Linked DNA regions of Canis lupus familiaris. The protein of the gene in region 2 interacts with the protein of the main gene of each other region in a pairwise test. Links are inferred from orthologs where the notes say so. Each region holds a gene or a part of one and is shown on either strand. Other genes may lie near its edges.

What was found.
Region 1: the proteins of PDIK1L (region 2) and C5H1orf174 interact in binary tests that used the Homo sapiens proteins (3 or more experiments, as listed by UniProt). The two-hybrid records come from large-scale screens. The link is inferred for Canis lupus familiaris from reciprocal best matches to the Homo sapiens genes PDIK1L and C1orf174.

What each region holds. Positions count from the first base shown.
Region 1 is NC_049226.1:58,835,880-58,843,531, reverse strand, and holds the start of C5H1orf174 (UPF0688 protein C1orf174 homolog), read left to right. Parts: upstream 1-2,725; 5' UTR 2,726-2,865; coding exon 2,866-2,880; intron 2,881-7,652.
Region 2 is NC_049223.1:73,254,438-73,261,878, forward strand, and holds the start of PDIK1L (serine/threonine-protein kinase PDIK1L), read right to left. Parts: upstream 5,086-7,441; 5' UTR 4,839-5,085; intron 4,481-4,838; exon of another isoform or gene 4,342-4,480; intron 4,251-4,341; exon of another isoform or gene 4,057-4,250; intron 2,451-4,056; 5' UTR 2,434-2,450; coding exon 2,149-2,433; intron 1-2,148.

The sequences.
Region 1 (7,652 bases), on a different chromosome or scaffold from region 2:
TACATGGGGCCGAGCACAACACAGGTCACTTTTCGACCTTTACAGTTAACTGGAAAATCTAATGCTTCTGACAAAACTGCCTATTTTAAATGTTCTCACCTGTAAAAATATAATAACCAGCACTCTCCTGGATGGCGAAGCACACCTACGGTGGCTGCTGCAATTGTGGGGCGCCACCAGGAGGCCAGTCCTGGAGGGGCAGCGGCCAGCCAGGCCAGAGAACAGACTGGTGTCCCTCAGCCCTGGCAGAGGGTCGATGGGCCAGAGGACAAGCTGGCGTGCCTCAGTTCTGGCAGGGGGTGGGGGGAGTCGATGAGCCAAAGGACAGACTGGTGTCCCTCAGTCCTGGGGCGGGGTGGGGGAGAGTCGATGAGCCAGAGGACAGACTGGTGTCCCTCGGTCCTGGGGGGTGTCAATGGGCCAGAGGACAAGCTGGTATCCCTCAGTCCTGGGGGGGTAGGGCTGATGGGCCAAAGGACAGGCTGGTGTCCCTCAGTCCTGGGGGGAGGGCCAATGGGCCAGAGGACAGACTGGTGTCCCTCAGCCCTGGGGGAGGGTCGATGGGCCAGAGGACAAGCTGGCGTGCCTCAGTCCTGGGAGAGGGGAGTCAATGAGCCAGAGGACAGACTGGTGTCCCTCAGCCCTGGGGGAGGGTCGATGGGCCAGAGGACAAGCTGGTGTCCCTCAGTCCTGGGGGGGGTGCCAATGGGTCAGGGGACAGACTGGTGTCCCTCAGACCTGGGGTGGGGTGGTGATGGACCAGAGGCCAGACTAGTGTCCCTCAGTGTTGGGGGGTTCGATGAGCCAGAGGACAGAGCTGGTGTCCCTCAGTCCTGGGGTGGGGTGGCGATGGGCCAGAGGAAGAGCTGGTGTCCCTAAGCCCTGGTGGGGGAGTGAGGGGGTCAATGGGCCAGAGGACAGACAGGTGTCCCTCAGTGTTGGAAGGGGTCGATGGGCCAGAGGACAGACAGGTATCCCTCAGTGTTTGCGGAGTCGATGGGCCTGAGGACAGGCTGGTGTCCCTCAGTGTTGTAGGGGGTCGATGGGCCAGAGGACAGGCAAGTGTCCCTCAGTGTTTGAGGGGTCCATGGGCCTGAGGCCAGACTGGTGTCCCTCAGTGTTGGGAGGGGGTCGATGGACCAGAGGACAGACAGGTGTCCCTCAGTATTGGGGGCGGATGGGCCAGAGGATGGACAGGTGTCCCTCAGTGTTGGGGGGGTCGATGGGCCAGAGGACAGACAGGTGTCCCTCAGTGTTGGGGGGGGGTCGATGGACCAGAGGACAGACAGGTGTCCCTCAGTATTGGGGGCGGATGGGCCAGAGGATGGACAGGTGTCCCTCAGTGTTGGGGGGGTTGATGGGCCAGAGGATAGACAGGTGTCCCTCAGTGTTGGGGGCGGTCGATGGGCCAGAAGATGGACAGGTGTCCCTCAGGGTTGGGGAGTGGATGGGACAGAGGACAGACAGGTATCCTTCAGTGTTGGCGGGATCAATGGGCCAGAGGACAAACAGGTGTCCCTCAGTGTTGGCGGGGTCGATGGGCCAGAGGACAGACAGGAGTCCCGGATGGGCCAGAGGACACACAGGTGTCCCTCAGTCCTGGGGGAGTTGATGGGCCAGAGGACGGACAGGTATCCCTCAGTGTTGGGGGGGCCGATAGGCCAGAGAACAGACAGGTATCCCTCAGTGTTGGGCGGGGGGATGGGCCAGAAAACAGGCAGGTGTCCCTCAGTTCTGGGGAATCAATGGCCTGAGAGGGACAGGTGTCCTTCAGTCCTGGGGTTCGATGGCCCGAGGACGGAAAGGGGTCCCTCAGACCTGGGGGTTGATAGCCCAAGGACGGACAGGCGTCCCTCAGGTGGGGTCGGTCGCGAGGACGGACAGGCGCCCCTCAGCTGGGGTCGGTCGCGAGGACGGACAGGCGCCCCTCAGCTGGGGTCGGTCCCGAGGACCGCGCGGCCCTCAGTCCGCGGGGAGGCTGGCGGGCGGTGCAGCGGCGTCTCCAGGCAGCAGTCCTCGCCCTCAGCGCTGGGCCTGGGCGTCCTAGCGAGCCTGGGTTCGTCCGTCTAAACTCTGGGAGGCGTCCCTGGGCTCGTCGGGTCCCCGCGCCGCCGGGAGGCCGGGCGCTGGCCGGGGCCGCGGAGGAGCCGCCCGCCGGGTGACCCGGGAGGAAGCGCCGTCCGAGGCCGTCCGCGCCCGGGGGTAAGGGCCAGAGGCGGTCCCCGCAGCGGTCAAGCCCGGGCCGGTCGTGTAGTCCCTGCCGCCGACCTGGAGGAAGAAGCCCGCAGGGACTCGCCAGCCGGCAGCCCCCGGGCCGGGCACTCCCGCGCTGCCGCGACGCGCGGACTCCAGGGACCGGAGCCCAGAAGCCCGCCCCCCCGGAGAGCGAAGAGAGACCGCCCTCCGGCGGACAACCACTTCCCGCCTTACTCCAGACACGTGGCCGGCGCCCAAGGCGGTGCCCCTCACAAACATGGCCGCCTTTCCCCCCACCCCCATGCTGTGACCTCGGAGGCGCCCCTCACAACCATGGCCGCCGCACCCTTAAATGCTGTGAACACAGGAGCAGCCAGCAGGTGCCCTTCACAAACATGGCCGCCGCCCCTCTTAAGTCCTGTGGCCACAGCGGAAGCCCGCCGGGTGCCCCTCAAAAACCTGGCCGTCGCCCCGCCCGCTGCGCACAGCGCCGACTTTGTTGGGTCACGTGCCTGAGGACGCCGGGCTGTGATTGGCCGAGCTGCTGGTGTCGTCAGACGCCGGGGGCGCGGGCCGAGCACCGCGGGGCTGCGGCTCCTCTGAGAAGCGTTAGGTCGGGACGCGGGGTTCTGGGGCGGTGCTGGGGGCGGCAGTGCGCCGCTCACACTCATGAGGAGCCGGAAGGTGAGGGGCCTAGGCCGTGCAGGAGCTGCGCCAAGGCGGCTGGGGCTCCGGCCACCCGTTGTCTGGGAGCCGAGGAGTGGCCGCGGGACGCCCGGGGCCGAGGGGCGGCCTCTGGTCGGCACCCCCTGGGCCGTCCCCGGGGCAGGGCCTCCCAGACCTGCCGTTGGGTGGGGGAGCACCCCGGGTCACGCCCCCCCGGGTCGGGGTCTCCCGGGCCAGCCCGGGGAGGGGGGGCGGGGCGGTCCTCGGGGTCACGCGCCCCAGGTCGGGGTCGGGGTCTCCCAGGCCAGCCGGGGGAGGGGAGGGGGCGGGGCGGTCCTCGGGGTCACGTGCCCCGGGTCGGGGTCTCCCAGACCTGCCATCGGGGGGAGGGTCTTCAGGGTCACGTGCCCCGGGTCGGGGTGGGGGGGTCTCCCAGACCAGCCATCGGGGGGACGGTCCTCAGGGTCACGTACCCCGGGTCGGGGTCTCCCAGACCAGCCATCGGGGGGAGGGTCTTCAGGGTCCCGTACCCCAGGTCGGGGTCTCCCAGACCAGCCGGAGGAGTGGGGCGGGTCGGTCCTCACGGTCCCGTGCCCTGGGTCGGGGTCTCCCCTGGAACCAGCCGGGAGCCCCGAGCGCTGCCGCCGCCCCTGAAGCCACTTGGTTTTTCAGCAGGTGACCTCAGCTTGGCCCAGGAGGGTGGGAGGCGACTGACCGCGCGCCGGGCCCTGGCCCTGGGCACCTGGGCTGGGCCGGGTCCTGGGGAGGGGCGGAGTCTTTATGGGCGTCCTCATTCATTCGTTCTTAAAGATCTTATGTACTTATTTGAGAGAGAGCGCACCGAGGGAAGGGCAGAGGGAGAGAGGTTCCCCGCTGCGCAGGCCCCCCCCCCCAACACACACCCGGTTCGGGGCCTCCATCCCAGGACCCTGAGGTGCTGACCTGAGCTCTGAGCCACCAGGCGCGCCCCCACCAGTTCACGTTAAAGTCGGACCCCCGTTTTACCATTCTGTCATTTTACTTTTGTTTTCTTTAAATACGTTTGGTTTCTTCTGTTCCTTGTTTAAATGCATTAAAATGAATATTTTCTACTGTAGCATTTTAATTATTCACTTTTTTATAATATTTTTCTCCCAGCAGTTGCTCTAGGTTTTGCCATGTCCCGTAACTTAGTGGAATCAGCTTAAGTCCAGTGAGATATAAAAGTGGACCTTCCCTTTACCTCTCTTGGAGGGTTATTGTGCCTGTTCCCTCCTCCATCCTTTCCCGTTAGAAACGCGGCAGTCCTGCTCTCATGGTCTCTCCGTCTGCAGGCCATTCCTCTGCGCAGGTCGGCCGTGCCTCCACCCCATCCGCTGTGCTGTTGCTGCCAAACACAGCACCTTTATACGCCGTCAGCTGCTGCTCAAATCCGTGAAGAGAGGAAGGAGGTACTAGTGTAGGGACTTGGTGCTTGTTCTATGACCATGAACTCCCATCCCGGATCACAGAACCTCCCTGAGGATTCCTGTAAGACAGCTCTGCTGGCCGCCATTCTCTGGTACCTGGGAGTGTCTTGCTGTCATCCAGAAGGATAGCTTTCCAGATGGACGATGTTTCGTTGGCAGATTTTTTTCTTTGAGAACTTGGGATGTGTTTGACGAGACCCATTGTTTCTGCTAAGTTAACTGTTGTTTCTGCTAAGTTAACTGTTTGTCTATGCAGCTCCCTTGTAGTGAGGAGTTGTTTTCTCCCGCCGTTTTCACGATTTCTCTTGTCTTTGGCTCTCCGCAGTGTCTCTTTATGGAGCTCCTTGCATTTCTCCTACTGGGAGTTCGGTTCTTGGAGACTCCTGTTTGTTGGTGGTGGTTTTTCAATACATTTGGGAAGTCTGAGCCATTATTTCTCTGCATATGTTTTCTGCCCCTTTCCTTCCTCAGGCTCCCATTACACATATGTTGGTGCCCTTAATTGTGTCCAGTGTGTCCTCGATTCTTTTTTCTCTATCCAGTGCTTTAGCTGTGGTTTTTTTAGCTCTTGAACGTTTTTTAGCTCTTGAACGTGTTCGTAATGGGTACTTTTAAGGCTTTGTCTGATAACCTCAACCCTGGTCACTCTCACAGGCACTTCTGTTGGTGGCCTTTATTCCAGTGCAAGGGCCTGCTTTCCTGCTTTCTTGCGTGCTCCATAATTTGTAGTTGAAACTGGGCATTTCAGATAATGTAGGAATTCTGGGTTCCTGCTTCCACCCCCACTCCGTGGCTTCTTGTCAGGCTTTGTTTAGTGACCAGGCAGATTCTCCTCTTGGACTCGTCCCCCCACCCTACCCTCACCGGGCAAAGGTTGGACCTGCCCTCCAAGGCCACACTGGGCAGCCCACAGGCACACTGGGATGGAGAAAGCCAGCTTCCTCTCCTTCTCCTACCACACCTGGCTGTTAAACTCCCATTGAACGCCATTTGATTGCTCAGTTGTTTTCCACAGTAGCCTGGGGCATAAATTGCTCAGTTGACTATGTGGCCTGAAGTTGATCTTGATTCTCCGTCTAACTGTCTCTCCACAGTCTTCTGTTCTAGAGACCCGCCTTAGGCATGACCTTCTCCACACCTCTCACAAATGAAGTCAGTTCCTTGGGGAAGAGATTAAGAGTTTCTGTTTTAGTGTCTGCCTTTTCCTCAGGCATTCTCTGAATCGGCTCCGTCTGGGACAGTGACAGGCTTCACTGTATGACACTTCTGATTCTGAATGCTCTGGGAGAGGGGGTGCTGGCAGCAGCCCGAGATCCCCTCGGCTTGCTTCTCCTGGTCTGGAACCACCTCCACAAGCAAGGGCTAGGGTGATGGGGTCCCAGTCTTAGTGCTCTGCCCAGGGTGGAGCCTCTACCCACAGCTGGGGTCGGGGCAGAATGAGAAAGGCTGACATCCTGCCCCGTGTGGGAGGAAACCCTTCCGCCTGGGAGTGGGAGGGCACCTGTGTTCTCAGCACTGGCAGTCTAGAGTTCAAATACCACTGAGTTATAGGAGGTCTTGAGTGATTGTTCATCTGCTCTTTGCCCACAGGACCATCTCCAAAAGTCTTCAATGATTTTTCATCCTTCTTGCCAGTTTTATGGGGGGTCAACAGGGCTCTTCATGCTGTCCTGTTGGACATCAATCTTGTCCTGCCCTTTGGGAAGCCACATTTTTGCCTTTGACATCCCACTTTTTAAGCAGTCTGCTTGGAAGGCAGAAGACCTCAACAATGAGAAGTTTCTCATTTGGGGATTAAGTGGAAGCAACCAGCTCTCAGAGACAAGAAACTGCTCCATCCTTAACCAAGAGTGGGAGCTTGTACCTTGGGGGAGGAGGCAGCTGTGACTGCTTTCAAGCCAGCAAGCTGCCAGACTTGACTGCAGCTCTCACGTGGATGGCAGGTGGTACCCAGAACAACCACAGCCCCTGAGTGTCCACCCGGAGCCCCCAAGTTTGCCTCTTCAAGGGGGCCTGGAAAGTCAAAGGTGAACAAGCCCCCTCGGGGAGCCTAGTGCACCCCCGGGTTACAGTCCCTGCCTCGGGGACAAAGAGGGAAGGATAAGAGCCAGGACAGCCACTCCCCTGCCCAGCCCGTGCGGAGTAGCCAAGCAGCTGCATGCTGGCAGCTCTTAGAGCTCATAGATGGGAGAGCCCTGTGACATGATGCAGGGCAAGAAGGACTTTGAGGCCACATGTCACTTGGGTCACCTCAAACAGGCTCCTCACTGGAGCCATCTTCACTCTAAAGTGAGAAGGCTGCTTTGGAAGCTATTCAAGCACAGCGCCTGCTCTGTCAGTCCTCTGTCAGACCTCAGTGACACTGGGAGCTGTAGTCAGGGCCAGTCCCGCACCCCCAGCTAAGCAGTCACATGGGACAGTGTTGGGAGTAGGACTTAGAACAGGGAAGAGAAGACAGGTGGTGGCCTGGGGCTAACGTGGCCACTCCCTCCTTGGAGGGGAAAGGGCTGCAGGAGGTGTGCTGATACAGGGCAGGGAGGAGGACACCTCCGGCATCTCTGCAGGCTCTGCTCCCTGCACATGACTGACCCCACTGCTGCCGGGCTTCAGCAGACCCTGCTCTTGATACGACGTGGGCCCAGACCCAGGTGCACACACCCAGAGGCCCTTTACCTGGCCTGGAGCACCTTGTCCCCACTGTGCACAGCTGAAAGGGTGCCCTGTCCTTCCACAGGCCCCTGCCTTTCCTTTTCCTTACATTTTGAATGTTCTCCAGTATCTCACAGCCTGGGTGAGCTGTCACCTTCCAGGACCTCTGGATACCTCCAGGGCTGTAGGTGAGAGTGGGCAGGATGACACAGTAGAGATTTCTAAGCTAGCTCATCTCTTTTTTGATTGGTTTCCTCTTCTGTCGAGCATGCTGCCCTTCTCTGGGCCCCAGGGCCCCCAGTTCTGGGGACTGCTGTGATGAGAGCCCTCGGGCCTCCCACCTGCATGCCCACCCATGCTCACTGGCTACTCTGTGTGACTCACCTTTATTGCCAGGTTTCAAATTGATCTTTAAGGGCACTGTTTTTTAAGTGCATTTGGTATCCTTTCCAGAACAGAAAAGGGAATTAGTGGAAAAACTGGTAAAATTCAAATCCAGTCTAGTTTAGTGAATTTGGATTTGTTTTGCCAGATACACCATGGGTTATAAGGTTGATTCTTAGTTCATTCCTTGTTGTCATCAGAAGACTGTCTTGCATTCAGAATAAAGTGGATGCAGACCAATAAATTGATAAGATTAGCCAGAAGTTAATTGCTTTAAACTGACACCTATAATTTGAGGGAGGGTGGGAT
Region 2 (7,441 bases):
TATATGTATGTATGTATTTATTTATTTATTAATTATAGAAATAGAGAGAGAGGCAGAGACACAGGAGGAGGGAGAAGCAGGCTCCATGCCAGGAGCCCGATGTGGGACTTGATCCCGGGACTCCAGGATCGCACCCTGGGCCAAAGGCAGGCGCTAACCCGCTGAGCCACCCAGGGATCCCCCCTTTTTTAAGATTTTATTTATTTTTTCATGAGAGAGAGAGGCAGAGGGAGAAGCAGGCTCCATGCAGGGAGCCCGACATGGGACTCGAACCCAGGTCTCCAGGATCATACCCTGGGTCGAAGGCGGTGCTAAACCACCAAGCCACCTGGGCTGCCCTAAATCATATATTTAAATATCTTTGTAGACCAAAAGAGATTGTACATTTTGTCTCCAAAATTCAATGCAAAGTTCATCAAGGTTCTATCCACTTTTAAGAGGGAATGCGGTAAGAATGTTTCTAATATTTTCTATCAGTGCAACTTACATACTAAGCACTTTTAGAAAAGTAAATAATAAATGGAATAGAGGCTAAATAGTTGTGCTTAATAGTCACTGCCTTAAGAGGTAAAACCTCAGGACATAGCATGCTAAAACTGCAATATAAATTAGGTTCTCCAGATTGGTATTTATTCACCATATAATGAAACCAGCAAGTTTCTTTCTTTTTTTTTTTTTTTCAAGTTTCTAATTACACAGATTAATGTGTTTGTTTTCTTTGTTGTTCCTAGTCCAAAAGCTTTTGTTGTTTTAAAATCATACTTCTGAACCTTGAGGGTAAAATTCTGAATTTAGACATACTAATGGAACGTTGTTTCTTTTCCAAGAATGACTGGACTTGGAATTTTTTCTCTGGTCTTCAACTAACAATGTCTTAAGTATCTTTTCTCTTCAGCAAATATAGACCTACTAGAGATTTTGATCTATGCCAGAAGCCAACCTTAAACAAACAAACATTTTCTGTTTTCCTATGTTAATGCTTTCCCCAGGTCTACAAAAAGTAATTTGAGAGCAAGAGTAATTTGGAAGTTAAGGGAACAAAAGTTTTAGCAGTCAGATACAGTCCTACATTCAGCTCCCAATTCTGCCATTTGCTGTATATGTGACTTGCATAGATTATGTATTCTAAGCCTCTGTTTCTTCATCTATAATGATGATAATAATAGTACTATCCTCATAGGATTGTTCTGAGCAGCTGCCTTTAAAATACTTAGCAGAGGGGCACCTGGGTGGCTCATTGGTTGAGTGTTTGGCTTCAGCTTGGGGCATGATTCCGTAGTTCCGGGATCGAGTCCCACATCCAGCTCCTTGCATGGAGCCTGCTTCTCATTCTGCCTATGTCTCTGCCTCTCTCATGAATAAATAAATAAAATCTTTTAAAAATAAAAAACAAAACACTTAGCAGAGTGTGGAACTGAGTAGGAACCCAAATGTTAGCTCTTAGCACTATTAATAACATTCTAGTGTTGGGACACCTGGGTGGCTCAGCGGCTGAGCATCTGCCTTTGGCTCAGGGCATGCTCCTGGAGTCCCACATGGGGGATCCTGCATGGAGCCTGCTTCTCCCTCTATGTCTCTGCCTCTTTTTCTCTATGTCTCTTATAAATAAATGATATCTTAAAAAAAAAAAAAAAAAACATTCAAGTGCCATGCCATATACTTCATGAAAATTAACTAGAGTTGCATGGTTAAGAAACCACACAATCCTCTAAAATAGAGGAGGCTTATATTCAAACCAGATTTATTTTAAAATGCCCAATTATCTATATGGGTGCTGCTGATTATGGAGTTTTTCCTTTTCTTCTGGCTTCAGTTCCAAAAAAAAAAAAAATTGATTTCAAATAGGTGAATTTATTAGACTCTAATCTCGATCACTTCTCTAGCTCCTATGTTGTCCCATTCCCATGCAGACTGGCAAGTATCATGGCATAACAGGTGGCTTATGTTATTTTTAGGTATTTGCATCACAGGTTTAAATAAAACCTTGTTTTAAAGAAAACATCTACTCAGTTCTTGGCAGACCCTTACCTACTCCTAACTATATAAACACCTGTATTTAAAGTAAAAGTTCACTCAACACTTTTGTTCCTCTTCTTGCTGACCAATGTGAAGTTCAAGTCATTTCTATTTCCCATTAACCATACATACCTGTAAATAAAGGGAAGAATTAGAGCCGTGGGACATTTTTTGCACCATCCCATCTTTTTGTAGGATGCATTCCTCCAAGTGAATCACATTTGGATGTTGGCTCTTGATACTGCTTAGTGCCCAGAACTCACGCAGGGCTAGTTCAACATTTTCAGGTGCATGGCATCGAATTTTCTTCACTGCCACCCGTGCAGAGGTCTTTCTGATGACTGCTTCATACACAACACCGTAACTGCCTCGGCCTACCTCCCGTATTAGATCGTACTTTGGCTGGCTACTCACCATCTTCAAGGTCAAAGTTTCTGGAAAATCAACAAAGTGCTCTGTTGAAATTAAGTATACTTACTGGTTTGTATACCTTCTTATGTATGATTTAATTATCTGTCTCACTGTTTGCAATGCTTGAAAAAGATTTGTTATATCATGGGCAAATCTAAATATTTGAATAATAATAATAAAGCAGCTAACACTTTGGTATTACCATGTATCAGGAACTGTTCCAAGCACTTTTAATCCTCAAACAATATTATGAAATAGATGTTATTACAATCATTTTATAGTTGAGAAAACTAAATCACGAAGAATTTAAGCAACATGCCTAAGGTCAAACAGCTACTAACTGGTAGACCTGGGTTTTGAAACCTGGCCACTTGGCTCTGACATTCATAACCATAACCATTACACTATACCGCCTCTTGCACAAACTGCTTCAAAATATTACTGTTAAAAATAAACCAAAGAATTAATCATTCTTATGATGAGCACTCCACTGCTTCTCCTTAAAGCTGACACACACAAAAGTTCATAAACATGTCAAAACGAAAAAAACCCTCTCACAGAAATATAACTGGCTTGTGCTTAGGGACTGAAAGTGAACCAGGTTACATATAGAACTGAAAATATGTAGGTTTTTTTTTTAAAAGTAAACAAACTGTATATGTCCCTATTTTAATTTTGCTATTTCTCATTTCTTGCAAAATAAATGAAGTTTGTGGAGAAAAAATGGTCCTTTAAAAATAAAGCAAGCTACTTAGAATATTGTTACCTTTCTGTTGTTAAACACCTATTTAGATGTAGGCCATTTTTGCCACCAAAAACTGTCCTCTATATGATGGGGCTCTTGGACAGGGTGCTTTCAAATTCAACTTGATAAATCATTTAAAGGCTTAGAAGCAAAGGCCTGACACAGAAATGCTGGTGAGTTGAATCAAGAAATTCTGAAGTGTGCCACCTCATTCTCCAAAGAATGTTAAAATCCTCACGAGTTTCTGGAACAGATTCTCATTTGTAGATTGCCACGATGGGCAAGAGATTGTACAATCTTTACAGCGTGCAGTTTGGAGAGGAGGGGAAGAAGCTATTGGCTGTTGAGCTTGAAAAATTGGGTACAGCTACTTTAAGTTCATAGGATGGATTTAATAAAGAAAATGAAAGCTTCTGAGATTACTTCCTTGGTCCCACTTCCTCTAACTGGAACCCCCTTCAAATTCCTGCCGCAATTCCTAGCGCCCGATGCCCTGCCACGGACGCCTTGCCCCAGGTCCACCCACGGCGCTCTCCCCTGCTCCCCGTGGAGCGCCAATTACTCTGCAGCTCAAAGCGGCTCGTCTCCTGCAGGCTGTCCCATGGCCACGCGCGAAAGAGCACCCGAGTAAGGGGGAGGGGGCGTTCACGCAGCCCCTGGACGCGAGCCCCCGCGGCCGGCCGGCCGGCACTTCCCCGGCCTCCCGCGGGCCCCGCCGAGCCCGCGCACGGCCGCCGGCGGGCCAGGCCACACACCTGCCGGCCCGGGAAGGGCCAGTCCCGGGCAGAGGTGTTGCCCGACGCGGCGGCTCAGCGCCCCGCTCATTGGCCGAGTATCAGGCCCTCCCCCTCCCCGGCGGCGTCCAGAGGAAACCCGGAGGGGATCCTCCCGAGGCCCTTCACCCCGAGGAGCCAGTCCCGCGGCGGCCCCAACTCCTCGGGGCTGGCGGCTGAGGCCCGGGGCCTGGGGAGGAGCCCAGGGGCAGAAGAGGAGGCCGCAGCTGGCGCCGGTGGCCTGAGGGGTGCGGGCCGGAGGCCTGAGCAGCGCGGGGCCTTCCGTAGGATGACTCCGCTGACAGGTCTGTGACAGGCCTCCCGGGGAGGGAGGCGCATGCAGGGTCCTTGGCTCTGCAGCAGGGCCTCGGTGCCAGGCCTAAGGGCCAGATTTACCTCAGGGTAGCCGCCGCCGCTTCTCCCTCTCACGGGCGCTGCAGGCCGCCATTATCGGGCAGCTCGCGCCTCAGCCGCCGCGGCCTCCAGTCAGAGACCGGCGCGCGCCCCCGTGGTGCGCGCGGACACACCCCCTTACGCCGTGCGGCCCCGCCCCCCTCCGGCTTTCCGTAGCGCGAGCCGGGACGCCGAGCGCCGTCCCTATTGGGCGCGCGCCCCGCGCTCCGCCGGCCTCCTCCCTCTCCTGTGGCTCGCGGGAGCCGGGAGTCGCCGAAGGTGTGCGCGCCCCGGAACGCACCACTAGTGCCCCTCCCTGCAGGGGTGGCCGGGCCCGGAACGGGGAGGCCGCTGCCCGCCGGGGCTCGGTCACCGTCCAGCCGCAGCGAGCGCGCACGGCCCGCGGCCCCGGGGGACGGTCTGCGGCAGCGGGTCCGGGCCTGGGGGTGCGCGCGCCCGGCGCGCCTCCCCGCTGCCTCCCCGCCCCCCTTCCCACCTACCGAGCTGCGGGCAGGTGTGCGGGGGTCGCTGGGGCGGAACGCCTGGTGCATCTTCTTGGGTTCGGGCCTGGGGTTCCTGCGGGCCGCGGAGCTGTTCGGCTGGCCCGCGGGGAGGCGCGGCCCGAGCTGGGAGGCCTGGCGTCCGCCCCGCCGGGAGGGAGGCTGCACCTTTTGTCAGAGTCACTGAGCCATGTTTGCGGACGGTGTAGTTGCCCAGGCGGCGGCGGCGCGGGACTGGGTGCGATCATCCGGGAGGACGCCGTCCCCTGCCCCGCCGGCGCGGTGGTATCTCCCTTAAAGAAGCCGGCGCCTCATTGTTCCCGGGCCGCGGCCGCGGGGAGTCGGGGGCGCCCTGCCCGGCGCGGGGCGGGAGGGACGACGGCGCCCGCACCTGGCCCTGCCGGGCGGCGGCCCCCGCGGGGAGTCGGGATCCAGCCGGCGCGCGGCGACGGGCCGCGGTATGGGGCGGCCGGGGGCCGGGGTGGGCCGCGGAGACAGCGGTTCTCTCGCGGCCCGGCGGACAGCGGCCCCTCAGACCCCGGCACGCAGTCGCCTGACAGCCGGCCCGAGACTGTCGGTGGCTCAGAGACTCGGACCAGCCCAGTGTTCAGTCAGTCACGCGGCCCAGTACGCGTCCGCCTGAAGCGTCCGTCCCTTCCTCACTACTGAGTTCTGCACCTGCTGTTTGTCAGTAGAGTGGTGGTTCCTCTCCGGTGCGGTGCGGCGTTAGGCTCCACGTGCGGAGATTCCCTGTCGGTGCTCTCAAGATCAGCCACTTACCCCTTTTATTTGCTGTCCTCTATTTATGGACCTTGTCCAGAGAGTCTGGGACTGGGTTAGGTCTTTCAATTAGCTTTTCTAATCCTGACCAAATCCCACAGGGTAGGCTTCATTACTAACCCTGTTTTACAGGTGAAGGACACAGATGCTGCCTTATTTGACCAAAAGTTGTGTAGTTTGGGGCGTGTGTGTGTGTGTGTGTGTGTGTGTGTTCCGGTGTACCTGCCTTGAATACCCACTCTCCCGGTGTAATTACCCCGCTAAAAAACCCAACAACACCCAGCTCTGTCATCTATTAAGACTTTTGTCCTGAGTATCATAGATCAGTCTCCATCAGCTGTCTGCTGGGGTATTGATGCCAGCCAAGGCTTAGTTTCTGCCCTTCAAAGTAGAGGGAAACTATGGAAGGCCTTAATGCTTGTGTGGGTAATTGATCAGAATCAGGAGAGTGGTATCTCCTTTGGTTAGAAGAGCTTTTTTTTTTTTTTTTTTTTTTTTTTTTTTTTTCCTTTTGTCTGTCTCGGTCATTAACTATAGGAATCCCTCTTCTCAAGCTGACTGCAGAACTGAGACTTGAAATTCAATTTGGGAACTCCTAAGATAGGCTGACTAAAGGTTTTTTTTTTTAAAAAAAGATTTTATTTATTATTTGACAGAGGAGCACATAAGCAGAGGAGGTGGGAGAGGGAGAAGCAGATTCCTTGCTAAGCATGGAACCAAATGTGGGGCTCCATCCTAGGGTCCTGGGATCATGACCTGAGCTGAAGGCAGACTGACTGAGCCACCCAGGAACCCCAGGATGACTAAAGATTGTGAAGTGGATTCAGGTCATACAGAGCCTGAAGCTTAAGAAATTTGAGGTGTTTTTTAAGAAAAAGATTACAGAACGGTCCCATGAACACATAGCTGGGGCCTTGGAATGTGTCTCTGTAAGGCAGGGTCTCAGGCTTAAGCTTCATTAGCTTCGGGGTAAATCTGCCTCTGCTTATTACAAAATATCATTATTAGTTTGCCCATAGGACTTCTACTAGACTTGAGAGTTCCTGGGGAAAGGAACCTTGTTTATGATTCATTTCTGAAGCCTCCTCTGTTATGGTACCAGAATACACCTGAGGGTAATACTGTCCTACATTGCTTGTGGGAAGGCAGAATGATGTAACTCATTAAGAATATTTCGCACACATAGCCACTTTACATATATATTTACTATTTCACCTCGCAAGTCCTAGGTTAAATCCTAAATTTCTAGGAATCAATCCTAGTGATATTTTGGCAAAAATACAAAAAGTTGTTCATTATGGTACTTTTGTAGTAAAAGATTGGAAGCTGCTCACATGGCAATAAAGAACTGGCTGAATAAATTACAGTACATGCACAGAATAGAGTGCTATGCAACGATAAAAAGATATGTGGGAGACTTCTTACATATACTAATAAACATGCTAATCTGGAGTGTTGTCCATATATATTGTTAAGTGAAATAAGCAAGGGGCATAATAGTGTTTACATCACCCAATAATGGGATGATATAAATAAACGTTAATTGCTTATATTCAAAAGTTAAACAGAAGAATAAACTCCAGTCTTCTAAAAATGGTTTCCTTTGTGGGATGGAGAGGGTAGACATGTAAATGAGACTTCTGTGAATGTACCTTATTATATAGTGACTATTTTGGAAGCTTGTAAATGTTTTGCATATTTATAAAACAAAATTCAAGAAAAAGAATAAAACACTCCATAAAAATTAGAAACAAATGAGCCATCTGCATGGTATAACTACACAGAGAAAATAATTTCAAGTGGCTTTATAAGTCTTTTGACTG